Elephas maximus indicus: one gene and its partner. The protein of the gene in region 2 interacts with the protein of the main gene of each other region in a biochemical or structural test. Links are inferred from orthologs where the notes say so. Each region holds a gene or a part of one and is shown on either strand. Other genes may lie near its edges.

Region 1 (7,193 bases), on a different chromosome or scaffold from region 2:
CCCCAGCCCTGAGAGCACCTGTGATGATGCTCAGAGTCCTTCCCTTCCAGAGGAGCATGAACCCAGATAAGGCAGCAGGTGAGCAAGGTGACCAGGCCACCAGGAGTCCTTAGCAGCATCCCTCTTAGGAAGTAACAGTCCAGTGACTGGCCCTATCCCTGACTGTAGAGAGGGTAACAAATGGAAACAGCAGGGTTGAGAATAGATGCATTCCTCAATTCCAGAGTAGCCCCAGACCCATAAAACGGAACTTCTCCCCAGAGAACAAACCAGACTAGGGGGAGGGGGGTTCTCCCCACCAGAGCAGCTTCTCACCACTCCTGGGACAGGAGTCTCAAAGATGACAACCAAGTGTCTAGGGCCAGGACAATCCCTAGATGGATCAGGTGCCCCTTCCCAAGGTGTAAGGACTGGTTAGGATGGCAGCCGGGTGTCTGATCAGGTTCCCCTTTCTGTCACACCCCACTGCCAGCAGCACTCCCCTGACACTCTACTGTCCAAAGAGCAGGGGCTGGGGGCAGCAGCTGCTGCACAGGAGGGGGCTCTCCCTCAGACCTTGGTAGGAGCAGAATCTGGGAAGGAGGCCCCTCCTCCTCAGAGCAGGCAAGCCCACAGACAGGACCTTCACCCCTCCCTCTAGGGTGGGAGAAAGGACCACTCAGCTTCAAAGCACTGGATTCTAAGCAAGAAAATATAAACTGGGGGAAAGGGGCTTCATTTTCCCTGAAAGAAGTGGGAGGAGAGAGGAACGAATGTCTCCTGAAAGAAAGAACCCCCAAAGTTCTTCAGACCTAACAAAACAGAAACAGCACCCAATGGTTGGTGGCTGGCGCACCAATTGTCCAGCAAGGACATCTGAGTTTGAGCAAACGGGACTAAGGAGAAAGTCAAGGGTCGGAACAAGCCACCAACGTGCCCCAGGCTCGCATCCCTGGGTAGGAGTGAAGGCCCCGCCACCCATCCCATCAGCAGCTCCTACAATGAGAGAGGGGAGGCCGGTACGTACAGTGGTTTGAGCCATTCCAAAGCGGAGTCCGGAGCGGGGTGGAGTAGGGGCCCGGGGCGGGAAGCCCTTTCTCCGGGAGCAAACAGGCCCGGTTCTGGTTATAAAAATCCACCACTAGGAAGGGGTTAGCGGAAGGGGTGAGCCCCCCCACTTCCACACTCTCGTACATCTTCCCCCGCGAAGACAAGAGGTCCGGGCGGGGAAGTCCTGCACCGCCCTCTCACTCAGCCGTGGGCGCCATCCGTGGAAAGCCGCTGGGGGCGAGGGACACGTCCCCCCACCTCTACTGGTGGCCCAGGCAGGGAGCCGCCCCCTGCCCTTAAGTCCCCGAGTCTAAGTCCGCTGGCAGTTCCACCAGTCCCAGGTGAAAAGCGTGGAAGTTGTGCGTGCTGGGGGGAGGGTGTCCCTCGGCTCTCCCAGGGAATGCCTGGCGGAGGCCCGGGAACTCAGCGGCTTCACCTCGAGGGGCTCCCGTCTCAGTCTCCTCGTGTCCGAAGCAGAGTCCACCCGCTCCCCAAGTCCGCAGGCAGGGGGTGGGATTGGCGCAGGGCGGCGGGAGGGGGTCACCGAGCACTTCCTCCTCCCAGCCGGGGCTCCCGGGCTTCTCCGGGTGAGGATTCCGGGTGGGGGTGGGGACCCACGCGGCTCCGCCTCCACCGAGGCCCGGGGTAGCAGCAGGCACCTCGCTGGGTCCCCAGCAGTGCCCGCCGTGCCCCCTACCCCCAGCACAGCGAACCCCCTCCTCTTCAGGCCCCACCCCCTCCCCTCCACCCCGCCCGGTTCAGGCACCGCCCCTGGCTTAACCCTTCCCTAGCGGGTCTGGCTGCAGAGGGCAACACGCTGGGAACCAGGGAACGACAGGGAGAGGCGGGATGTGGACAGGAGAGGATTGGGAGCCTGGGAAGGGGAGGAGAAAAGAGGGGGAGGAAGGGGAGAAAGGCACAAGAGGAGGAGTAAGCAGAGTACAGATGAAGGCAGGGTACCAGGAGAGGAGTGGGCTGCGGGGCCGAGGCAAGGACAGACGTGGGAGGGGGTCTTCACCCACCCCCGTTCTGCCTCCCGGTCTCCCAGATGGTTTGGTCAATACCCTGCCAAACCAGGGGGGAGCAGGAGGAGGCGGTGGTGTCTCGGTGTCCGCCTCCTAACACACACCCCCACCTAGCCTGGGTCTCATTTGCCTAATATAATACGGCTGAACTCGCCTGGCGGTGCCTCACCTCCGGATGACCCACCCACCGCCGCCCGTGACAACACCCGCTCACCACCGGCTCACCAGCCTTGCCCCGGGGCTGGCCGGCCGGTCTCCTGCCCAGCCGGGCCTGGCCGGCTCCTCCATACACTGGGAGAGAGGACACGGGAGGGTAAGGGCTGCGGTGTGAGCGACCGAGTGTTAGCGCCAGGAACGAGGCATGTCGGGTGTCCGGGGTGTGACACTGCGTAGCCGGGGCGCTGTGTCGGAATGAGACACCCGGCTTGTGTCATTGTCTGTGACATCATGTGTGACTCCGGCTTCCCGCCCGCCAGAACCCTACAAGGCAGCGCGGGCGGGTGCTGTTGGCACACACACACATAGAGGGGGCTCTCCTCCCTAAGCTCTGCTCTGCATGCTTCCTCCGCCTAGAGTGTCTCCCAGCCCAGGAACCAGGATGGGGGCCCCCACCTCACAGTCCAGCCTTGGAGAGAGAAAAGGAGGGGGTTGGTGCCTTCCAGCTGACCACTTTCTCCCAGAAGCCCAAGGTTGCCTATTTCATTTGAATAAAAACCAAGGTTAGGTAGCTCCCTAGAAGGAGGGAATGACCCTAGAGGAGGGGGCATCCCATTACCCACCTCTTACCCTGTCGCCAAGCTCCCTCCCTCTGAAAAAGAAAGGAATGGGAAATTACATGCTTCCCAAGGATGTTCTTCTAGTAGCCAGGTTCTTCATGTATGTTGTCATTTAATCCTTACAGGAACTCCAAGACATAAATGGGCATTACTCCTATTTGACAAATAAACTGAGATCTCCGCAAAGCTACGGGTGGGTGTTCCCAGGTCACACTACCAATGAAGAGCACAATGAATATCTGAACTTTCTGCTGCCAAAGCCCATGTTCCCACCATGCCAGGCCAACTGGATTGTATCTCAAGAAAAACTATTTTCTGAGCACCTCCTATGCGGATACCCTGGTGAGCAAAACAGTCCCTGACCTTGTATACCTTACAGAGCAACAGACATTAAGCAAATAATCACAAATTATATATACATACATGTATACATATATATATATATCTAAAACACACCAAACCCATTGCCATTGAGTCGATTCCAACTCATACTGTCCCTAAAGGACAGAGTAGAAGTGCCCCATAGGGTTTCCAAGGAGCGCCTGGTGGATGTGAACTGCCGACCTTTTGGTTAGCAGCCACAGCTCTTAACCACTACACCACCAGGACATATATACATATATGCACACACATATATATAAATGCAAACTGAGACAAGTGCTATTATGACATAAGCATAGTGTGCTTTAAAGGAAAATTAATGGAGGTACCTAATTTAGGTTGAAGGATCAGGGAAGACCTCAAAATAAAGCAGAAACCTAAAGAAGGAGTAGAAGTGAACCAGGCAGAGTAGGACAGAGTACCGTCTCAGTAAGAGTGTGTGCAAAGGTGCTGGGGTTACAGAAGTTGGTGAGTTAATTCAAGGGACTGACAAATGACCAGGGTGGCTGGAGCAGAGAATTCAAGAGAAAAAGGGATACAAGAACAGGTGGGCTTGTAAGGCCCCAATAAGGCTTTTGGATTTTATCTTAAACGCAATGGGAAGCCACAGAAAGGTTCCAAGGAGGGGAGAGGCAAGATCAGATTAATAGCCCCAAAAGATATTCCTAGCAGCTGTGGAAAGAATGGATTGTAGGAGGGCAACAGACAAGTTAGAAGCTACTGCAACAGGTCAGGCAACAGAAAATGGTGGCCTGGGCTAGGAAATTAGCAGTGGTGATGAACAGAGGAAGGTGGGGTCACGAGATCCTTTAAAGGTAGAATCAATGTGGGGATGGGAAAGGAGGTAGCAGAGAGGACGTTCTGGTGTATGGCTTATGCAACAGCAAAGTTCCTCCTGAGACCGCAAAAGAGAGAAGTCCACTGGGCTATTGGGACAGGTGGGTGTGGGACTCAGATATGAGGTCTGGAAGGCTGGGGCCTGGAGCAAGTATGCAAGCATTGGGAGTATATGAGATTGCCAAGGAATCACAGACCCTGGTATCTTTCCTCCCAAATGATATAGCTCCTGGGTACCAGTTATGCACCAGGCTCTGTGTTCAGAGCTACAAGGCACTAAGGGACCCAAGACCCTGTCCCTGCCATCAAAGAACTTATGATCAGGGACAGGCCTCCCAAGTGATAGCAATTCACAGTAGGAACAAGACGGGGTAGTGTAACTAGGTGGTAAATGAGTGTTATTTGAGAAAAAATAAGGACCCATAGGCATGCAAGGAAGGGGGAGACAGTGTGGCAAAAAAAGGGGGAAACATTTGCAAAGGTTTCTGGGAAGAGGCAGCATGCAAGATGTTCCTTAAAGGATGGAGAGTATTTCCAGAGCAGGACAGGAGGAGAACCTGGGGGTGTGGGGTGAGATGGCTGTTCTGGGCAAGAGCAAGGTCGTGCAGTGGGTCAGAGCAGAACGCCATGTCCTAGGGCAGTGGGAGAGGAGGGAAAAAGGCAGTTCTGGGGCCTGTTTCAGCCGCACCCCCCTCCAGGGCTTTGCGTTTATTAGGCCCTCAGCACATGTGGGCTGAGCTGAACTGGCCACCTTATGCCAGGCAGGGTTCCCTCCTGTCCCCAACCCTATCTGGAGGCCCAACAAACAGGAAGTCATGAGGCCCGGTGCCAGGCAGACATTGGGTCCCAGTACAGGGTGACTATCTCCCAGGACAATGCCTAGCTCCACCCCATCATCACTGCCCTTGCAAGATACTTGCAGCTCATCCAAGCCCTCGCCAGCAAGCGCTGGCCAGCAAGTGGGTCACAGTGGCCTCACAGCAACTGGCCCAGCCAGGAAGGGATCTAAAGAGGAGGAAACAGACTCAGAAAGAGGTAGGGCGACCTGCTGAAGGCCGAGCAGGAAGAGGTGTCCTTTAAGACTTCTGCCCAAGGGAGCTGTGGTCTATGGGCTAGCTGGGGTTTCCAGCAACCCAGAAATCAAAATGAAGTGGGAAGGGCCTCTATTTTTGACCTAGCCAGTACTGTGCCCACGTTCCTAGGAGGGGGAAGAGGAGGGAGCTGGAGGAGGGAAGCAGTCTGAGCCACCCCAAAATGATTTGGAGAAGAGAAGTACTTCCTCCTTCCTCAGATGTTACCCCCAAAGGGCAGTCAGGCCCTGCATGGGAGTAGCCTCAGGAGCATATGTCAATTGGTATGGGGTGGAGAGGGCGACAGGCTTCCTTTCCTTTGTCCCCTCCCCCAGCCCTTTCTGGGATCCTGCCCATGAGGGGGCCGCTGCATTATCAATGCTGGGAGATAAAAGGTGAGGGGCCCCATTTTCATTCAAAGCCCCAGATCATAGTCTTTTGGCTGATTCTGCATTTTGGACCCTATGAAAGCCTTTGCTAGGCAATACCCCCTCCCCCTGGGCTGTCCCTCCTATTGTCCAGGGAAAGAGTAGGGAGAGGGAGGGAGGATGCACAGGCAGCTGGCTTGGGAAAGGCCCCAGCCACCTTCCTCCAGGATGCCTTCCCTGACTGCAAAGGGGAGGAAGTGGCAGAGAAGGGGGACAAGGAGAAGGGGCACACCCAGAGATCCTGTGGCCATCCCCCAGTCCTAGGCACACAGAGCAAGTATGTGGACAGAAAAGTCTTGATCCACTCTTTTGGGGCTCTCATCACCTGGCTCCTCTATTGAGTGCTTCCAACTTCCCTGCCCCTACTCCCCAAATTGAAACAAAATAAGAATAACAACTGTGGCTTTTCCATTCTGTTCCTTCTGTGTCTGTCTGGAAGGAGGGTACCCACTGAGCTCTGCAGACTCCACAGGCTACAGCGGGCAGACTCCGGGCTGGGGACGGCTGCTAACAGACTGTATCTGCAGCTTCCAGGATAGGATGCGGATCTTCCTGGCCTCTAGTCTCCCTTTCCCTCCAGCCTCAGCATCCAAAACAGAGAAGAGGGAGTGTGGCCTGGGTCCTTCCCTGTGCCCCCTACTGGGGAAGACAGGGGTCAGACTGAAGAAGCAGGGTCTCTGCCATGGGGCAGGGGTGTCAACAATGGCACTGACCCCCCAAGGCTCTCCACACACAGGAGTGCCCCCACAAGCCCCTCCTGCAGCTATCAACCCCACAGACCCAGCTCTGCCCTCACTTAGCCTCTGCCAGCCCCGGTTTCCTCATGTGTAAATGGGAACCAAGCCCCACTCCCAGGACTGTAAGGATTAAGATTTGTACAACATATACAAAGTCCTCAGCACACAGTAGGTGCCCCACAGATGTAGGTATTCCTTCTCTCCAGTTCCCACCTAGAAAGGGCCTGAATTCCTTTTCACTACCACGTGGTAGGCGCTGCACCCCCACCATCACACACAAGGCTGCAGCTAAGGTCATTACGTCTATGTTCTTGCCTAATTCTCATCCTCTAAGGGAAGTTCTCGTAATATTCTTGTTAGGCTGACAAGGAAACATGCTAAGAAAGGTTACCAACACATAGCAAGCAGCAACGCCAGAACTCGAACCCAGAACCGGCACCAATATCTAAGCTCTTAACCACTAAGCCACACTGCGTACTCCAAGCCCCCAGTCAGACCCCTTTGCCCCTGAATTCTGAGGGCAAGCAACAAACAAGGCAGGGCAGTTTTCCTTTCCAGCCTACAAGAGCGACTCATTAGGGGGAGAGTAAATGGGAGTACGTAGTAAGGTGTATATAAGCTTATATGTGACAGACTGACTTGATTTGTAAACTTTCACTTAAAGCACAATAAAAATTATTAAAAAAAAAAAAGGAAATAGAGACCCTCCCTCCTCAAACACACATATAGCAATCCACATACCACTCCCCTTCATACTCTATGCCCTAAGCTACCCCACCCCAACCCCAACACACCAACAAGCTGAGATCCCCTCCCTGGTGCTTGACTTGATTCTTCCAAAACATGCTCAACTCTCTGACCCTCTCCACCCAATACACACAAGCCCATTAACCCCTTTCCCAACACACAC
Region 2 (6,939 bases):
ACAATGCTTCTCACATAAGGAAACAAAGGCACAGAAAGGGTACAGGATGAGTTGTTTTAAATAGTAATAATAATATCTGTAGCCAGGTTTTGGACTTCCCAAACAAAAAAAGCCTGCCTTGTTACAGTTCTTTTCTGGATTAGGCTCTTGCCTTTCCAGGGCCTTTAAAAGGCTGAGGGATGTGTGTGATGACCCATCCAGCCTCTACAGTCACCATTGCACTGCAAACGGTATTAGCCTACTAATTACAGACTGATGAGAAAAAAACTTAGGCTTGTTTTCTTGTTACAGAGAGCTAGAAAGTAAAGGTTAGAAGACTGTTTAGACATTATTATCTTAAGTCACTATTTTTTTTCTTCTTAGCTTTAGTTGAAAGTTTGCTGAAAGGCAAGGTTATAATGATGGTATAAAAGGAGGGTTTTGATCATCTGTATATTTTAATTTATAAAATGTTCCCAATTATCAGATAATTACCAGATCCATAACTGGGAAATTGATCAAAGCTGAAGAGTGGCTTCAGAATCAGGAAGAATGATTTATTCCATTGTGTGTCTCGAGACCTATTCAGGATGGTCACTACTAGGCCTCTCCTTTCATTTAACAGTGTTTACTGGGTGTCAACTATATGCTCTATCTTGAGAATACAAAATGAAAAGACATCATCTTTGTCCTCAAGTTGCCTAGTCTAGTTGGGGGACAATGGATACTTAGATACTTTTAATGGAGGTATGTAAAAAAGATATAGTGGACAGAATATTCAATACCTGGGAGTGGTAGGGAAGACTTCAGAGAAGTTGTACTTATCAAAGATACGAATAAGAGTTTGTCTGGTAGCCCAGAAGGAAGACGGGCTGAGTGGACTGTACTTATAAAAGTCCAGACTTTGAAGATCCCAGAAAGCATGGCTTTTGGGGGAAATTTCAACAAGAACAAAGTGAAGGGTAAGAGAGTACAGTGGACAGTAATGGATAATGAGCCTGAATAAGTGAAGGGCTGACCACTAAGAGACTTCAATGCCATGCTGCTGTGTTAGCACTTAGTATGTGTGAGGCTTACTACATCACAGCCAGGCACAATTCAAGTTCATAGGAATCACATTGCTCTTTAAAGAAAGTCCTTCGGAGTTATTTAAATGATCTTGCAAATGGTTTTGTAGACAGACACTGGAAGGATTTTGAGAAGACCTGAAATAAGTTTATGCATTAAAAACAAATTTTTTTGGTTTGGTCTAAAGAAATTTTTTTTTGCTACAGTTTTTGCAGGAGAATTGGACAAGATGGATCATGGTTCATTTGCTCTCAGAGACTATCAATAAGCAAGGATATGTCAAAGACATTCCTCATTGGTCAGGTGCTGAATTCTATCCAGTCCTAGGAAGAGCAAAGGGAAAGAATTGTGAAAGGGAGGATGGCTACTGAATTTGAGTCTAAATGTAGATCTTTTTCTCAGTACCTGGGAATAAAACCAAACCCTAGTTTCCATTTCAGGCATAGACTAGCTTATAAGAACTATGGGAAAAACAACAAAAAAACCCACAGGCTTTGGAGCTAAAACAACAGGCCATAATTTAAGTGTCTGAGCCTCTCTCTTCTCATCTGTAAAAGGGTATGGCGTCTCTTATTATCAGTTAAAAGGATTAAGTTAGACAATATATTTGAAGTGTTTAGAGAGTGTGCTAAAAATAGTTCCTTTCCCCTTCCCCAGTAAATTTAGGTGTGGTCTTTTGCTGACTATACTGAACAGCTGTTAGAATCTCCTGTGTTTAGTTTACCAAGATGAGTAATGCAGTTCTTCCCTTAGTGTTTCTCCAACTCTGGATTAGGAACTAATCACTTGAAAAAACGGCATAAAAATGCATATTCTTAAACCTCATCCCATACTCCACTACAGAGAATCTGATTTACTAGGTCTGGGGTGAGGCCTAGGAATCTGCTTCTTAAAAAAGCACCCCAGATGATTGTTACAGACTGATATTACATTTTGAGAAACTTTGATGTTGGTTAAGTGATAAAGTTTGTAATAAAGGTGTACAAGATGATGCCATTTCAGCTGCCCTGAGTGTATAAAAAAAAAAAGTGTATAGGTAGGTTTTTCTCAGGAGATAGAAAGTAACAATGCAAAAGCAGTTTTCTTCAAAAACAACAACAAAAATTGGAGAATGTCCTTATACAAATGGTTATATAAGGCATTGTTTTATTCACTTAACAATTTGTAGACTTTTTTTTGCGGAACTGTTCTGGTCTGGAATCTGGCTCAACTTAAAAGCTTTGTGACCTTGGGCAAATTATTTAACTTTTCAGCTTAAGTTTCTTCACTTATAAAATAATATTAACACTACTTAATAATATCGTTCTTATTAAGATGACAAAAGGTACGCAAAGCACCTAATCCACTTTGGCACCTAACACAGTAGGCATTCAACAATCACTTCATCGCTTCCAAGCCTTGCCCAAAGGACCAGAGCCTAAGTTCCTGCTTTCAAAGGGCTTAAAATCTTTTAGGGGAAATTCAGACTTTAAAACAGGAAAATATATAAAGAAGTGATAAGATAAAAGTGCTAAAGAGAATGACCTCATTACGTCACTTACAAGCCACCCAGTCGTCCTCCACTAAAACAGGGATAAAGAGGCAAAATGGAGGCCAGAACTTAAGGGGCCTCGGGCAAAACCATGTCCTTTAACTTTCGTCTCAAGAAACAGGAACTCGGCTATCTTGCTTTACACTTACGCGGTATTTACAATTAAGGGGGTTAAAAAAGGAAGCCGTTTAGGACCTTGGGGAGGTTCTCCAATGCACTTTAGCCCCAAAGAGAAACTCTTGAAAAGTTAACCCGCTGCAAGTAGCTTGTGCTTTCTCTGCGGGAACTTAATAGTGTTTGCTAGAGTCTCACAAAAACCTTGTAAATTGGTCAGCTCCGTATTAACTGATTTTGACAGTGCTGTCGCCAGATCTCACCTCGCCTACACTCACAGGGCTTACACCCACACTCAGAGGCATTCGTCGGCCTCGGGAGGGGTGAGAGGTACTTTCTAAGGGCGGTTCAATGAGGACTCAAACGAGCCGGGGTGGTGGGGCAGAACTGCGCGCTGAAGGGACTTCTTGGTCTTTGCCCTGACACCTGTGGAGCTACAGGGTACTGCTTAAGTGTACCATCTAATCACTGTAAAAGACGTCCCCTAAGGAGGGCCAATATGGCGACGAACTCCTCTTGGCACAGCCCTGTTCCCTTCCCCATGATGGGCGGCTCTAGTAACGCCCATTGGCCAACTTGGGGGCGGTCCCTGGCCTACTGCGCCCCTTCATTGGGCCGAGCGATTGAGGTAGACGCCAACTCTGCTCTGCCCCCTCCAGGTTCCCGCCCCCAGAGTTCATTCGGCGGATAATAGGGTTTTAGTCACGTCAATATGAGTCCTGATCTGTCTCTTTTCAGTGTCTATCCAATCATGACTTTTCTGGCTGCCCGCCTGAATTCTGATTGGTGTTGATCAACTTCATCCTCTCCCGTTCCGGCCTCTCCTCCCACAAGGACTTTGCCCAGGCATGTCCAGAATTCTGGTTGGTCGTTGTTCTGTCACTCTTATCAAAACTCTCCCTATCGCTACCGCTCAAGGAGCCCGCCTGGCAGTTGACTGGCTTCCCTCCAAGCCTATCATCTCCAGCTCCCGCCCATTTTCACTTCCTGCATCTTTCACTGGTTTTTAAAACTGAGAGGGCGGCATTTTGGGGCGGATACCAGGCACGCACTTCTGTCTTACACGCCCTAGAGAGCAATTGAGTCGTGCTATTGGATACCCTGCCCGCCTTTCTTCTACAAGTCCCGCCTTTCCCCCTCCTTCATTGGGCGGGGCAGCAGTGAAGGGGCGGGGCCTAGGCCGAGCTTGTGGCGCGCTGCTCCCTCCTCCTTACCCCCCCCCTCCCCGTCCGGTCCGGGTTCGCTTGCCTCGTCAGCGTCCGCGTTTTTCCCGGCCCCCCCCAACCCCCCCGGACAGGACCCCCTTGAGCTCGTCCCTCAGCTGCCACCATGAGCGGTAAGGATGAGTCCACTCCAAGCTTAGGGGTGGGAGGGGAGTGAGGGGGCGCGCGCGAGGGCCGACCGGGCGGTCCCCGCCGTGAGGGGGGGCGGGCGGGAGGCGGCGGCGGCGGCGGCCTTGGTCCCGCCCGGGGCGGAGGGAAGGGAGGGAGAAGGGGCAGTGGCGGGGCCTCGGAGGAGGAGGGGGATGGGCCGCCCGCCCCGGGGGAGGGGGCAGCGTGGCCTCGCCCGCCCCCTGCCCGCCCCGGCCACGGGGGACGGGCCTTACCCCCCACTACTCGACTGCCCGCCTGAGGCTCCTCCCGCCGGGGGCTGGAGCCGCGGGGGCGGCCCAAGCCGTGCAGGCCCCGCCCGGGCCAACCGCCTCTCTGGCCCGCCCTCTGGTCGCCGCCTGCCCCAAGGCCCTCCCCCCCCCCTTTTTCTGTATTTTCCCCTCCCCCCCATCGTCCCGCCCTTTCCACGCCCCTCACCCCGAAACCGCCCTTTCTCCCTAGGGCCCGCCTTCTCCCCGCCCCGAAACCTGATTTCTAATCCCAAGACCCCTTTAGCTCCTTACCTGTATTTACTAATGTGTCTCCACTCACATTTTTCATCATTTATCTTTCCCTTTTCTGTTCTCTTGTTACTTTCTATGTTTGTATTTTTTTCTTTTTCCGTGTCCTTTAACACTAATTTTAGCAAGCTTTCCATCCACCCACATGTTGTTTTTTGCCTTACCTGGCCTTCTCCCTTTTTTCCCCTGGCATGTTTTTTATTTTAAAACTCTTTCAACATACCCACAGTCCCTCACATTTCCTATCCCAAAAGCATTTTTTGAATGTTTTCTGAGTTTAATTTTGTACAAAGGAAAATTGAGGCCCAGTTCTGGCACCATAGAGCCTGGTTCACGTCATATTGTCCTACAACTGCTCCCCCCTAATCCATTTTCTTTCAACAGGCACCTTTTACCTTCCTATTAGTCATTTCTGTTTCATCATAATGTTCTTTTACCCTTTTTTTCTCCCCAATTTTATGTTGTTTATTTTTATTTCATTCTAGAACAAGATCACTCCATGGATGAAATGACAACAGTGGTGAAGATTGAAAAAGGAGTTGGTGGCAATAATGGGGGCAGTGGTAATGGTGGTGGTGCCTTTTCTCAGGCTCGCAGCAGCAGCACAGGCAGTAGCAGCAGTGGAGGAGGAGGAGGTCAGGTAAGTGATGATTAGAGATAAAGTGTGGGGAATATGTTGAGAGCATGTAAATACTCCTAGATAATTGTTTTAACTACTCACACAAAAAATTTTAGGAAAGGACTAAACAGTTTTACAGATAGAGGAAGTAAGTATAGAGAGAGAGAAATGACTTGGAGATCCCCAGAGATGGAAATTGCAGCAATACAGATAGATTGGTTTTTTTGTTTCTGGTTTTTAGTCGTTATTTGTCTGCACTATTTTGTTCTTTATTTGTTGTGCACTGTCCTCCTAGGCTGGCAGCTGGGTGTCAATAACTCCTTTTCTCTTCCTTGTTTTCTGACCAGGAGTCCCAGCCATCCCCTTTGGCTCTTTTAGCAGCAACTTGCAGCAGAATTGAGTCACCCAATGAAAACAGCAACAATTCCCAGGGCCCAAGCCAGTCAGGGGGCACAGGTGAGCTGGACCTTGCAGCCACACAACTCTCACAGGGTGCCAATGGCTGGCAGATTATCTCTTCCTCCTCTGGGGCTACCCCTACCTCAAAGGAGCAGAGTGGCAGCAGCACTAATGGCGGCAATGGCAGTGAGTCTTCCAAGAATCGCACGGTTTCTGGTGGGCAGTATGTTGTGGCTGCGGCCCCCAATTTGCAGAACCAGCAAGTCCTAACAGGACTGCCTGGGGTGATGCCCAATATTCAGTATCAAGTAATCCCACAGTTCCAGACCGTTGATGGGCAGCAGCTGCAATTTGCAGCCACTGGGGCCCAAGTGCAGCAGGATGGTTCTGGTCAAATTCAGATCATACCAGGTGCAAACCAACAGATTATCACAAATCGAGGAAGTGGAGGCAACATCATTGCTGCTATGCCAAACCTGCTCCAGCAGGCTGTCCCCCTGCAAGGCCTGGCTAATAATGTGCTCTCAGGACAGACTCAGTATGTGACCAATGTACCAGTGGCCCTGAATGGGAACATCACCTTGCTACCTGTCAACAGCGTTTCTGCAGCTACCTTGACTCCCAGCTCTCAGGCAGTCACGATCAGCAGCTCTGGGTCCCAGGAGAGTGGCTCACAGCCTGTCACCTCAGGGACTGCCATCAGTTCTGCTAGTCTGGTATCACAAGCCAGTTCCAGCTCCTTTTTCACCAATGCCAATAGCTACTCAACAACTACTACCACCAGCAACATGGGAATTATGAACTTTACCACCAGCGGATCAGCAGGGACCAACTCTCAAGGCCAGACACCCCAGAGGGTCAGTGGGCTACAGGGGTCTGATGCTCTGAACATCCAGCAGAACCAGACATCTGGAGGCTCACTGCAAACAAGTCAGCAAAAAGAGGGAGAGCAAAACCAGCAGACACAGCAACAACAGATTCTTATTCAGCCTCAGCTAGTTCAAGGGGGACAGGCCCTTCAGGCCCTTCAAGCAGCACCACTGTCAGGGCAGACCTTTACAACTCAAGCTATCTCCCAGGAAACCCTCCAGAACCTCCAGCTTCAGGCTGTTCCAAACTCTGGCCCTATCATCATCCGGACACCAACGGTGGGGCCCAATGGACAGGTCAGTTGGCAGACTCTTCAGCTGCAGAACCTCCAAGTTCAGAACCCACAGGCCCAGACAATCACCTTGGCTCCAATGCAGGGTGTTTCCTTGGGGCAGACAAGCAGCAGCAACACCACCCTTACACCCATTGCCTCAGCTGCCTCCATCCCTGCTGGCACAGTCACTGTGA

Evidence for each region.
Region 1: the proteins of SP1 (region 2) and RARA form a complex in vitro, tested with the Homo sapiens proteins (2 studies listed by BioGRID). The link is inferred for Elephas maximus indicus from reciprocal best matches to the Homo sapiens genes SP1 and RARA.

Annotation. Positions count from the first base shown.
Region 1 is NC_064837.1:47,498,294-47,505,486, reverse strand, and holds the start of RARA (retinoic acid receptor alpha), read right to left. Parts: upstream 3,001-7,193; 5' UTR 2,822-3,000; coding exon 2,667-2,821; intron 2,464-2,666; exon of another isoform or gene 2,456-2,463; coding exon 2,280-2,455; intron 1,737-2,279; exon of another isoform or gene 1,176-1,736; coding exon of another isoform or gene 1,007-1,175; intron 1-1,006. UniProt on the Homo sapiens protein: Receptor for retinoic acid. Retinoic acid receptors bind as heterodimers to their target response elements in response to their ligands, all-trans or 9-cis retinoic acid, and regulate gene expression in various biological processes.
Region 2 is NC_064822.1:108,874,489-108,881,427, forward strand, and holds the start of SP1 (transcription factor Sp1), read left to right. Parts: upstream 1-3,937; 5' UTR 3,938-4,021; coding exon 4,022-4,028; intron 4,029-5,068; coding exon 5,069-5,223; intron 5,224-5,549; coding exon 5,550-6,939. UniProt on the Homo sapiens protein: Transcription factor that can activate or repress transcription in response to physiological and pathological stimuli.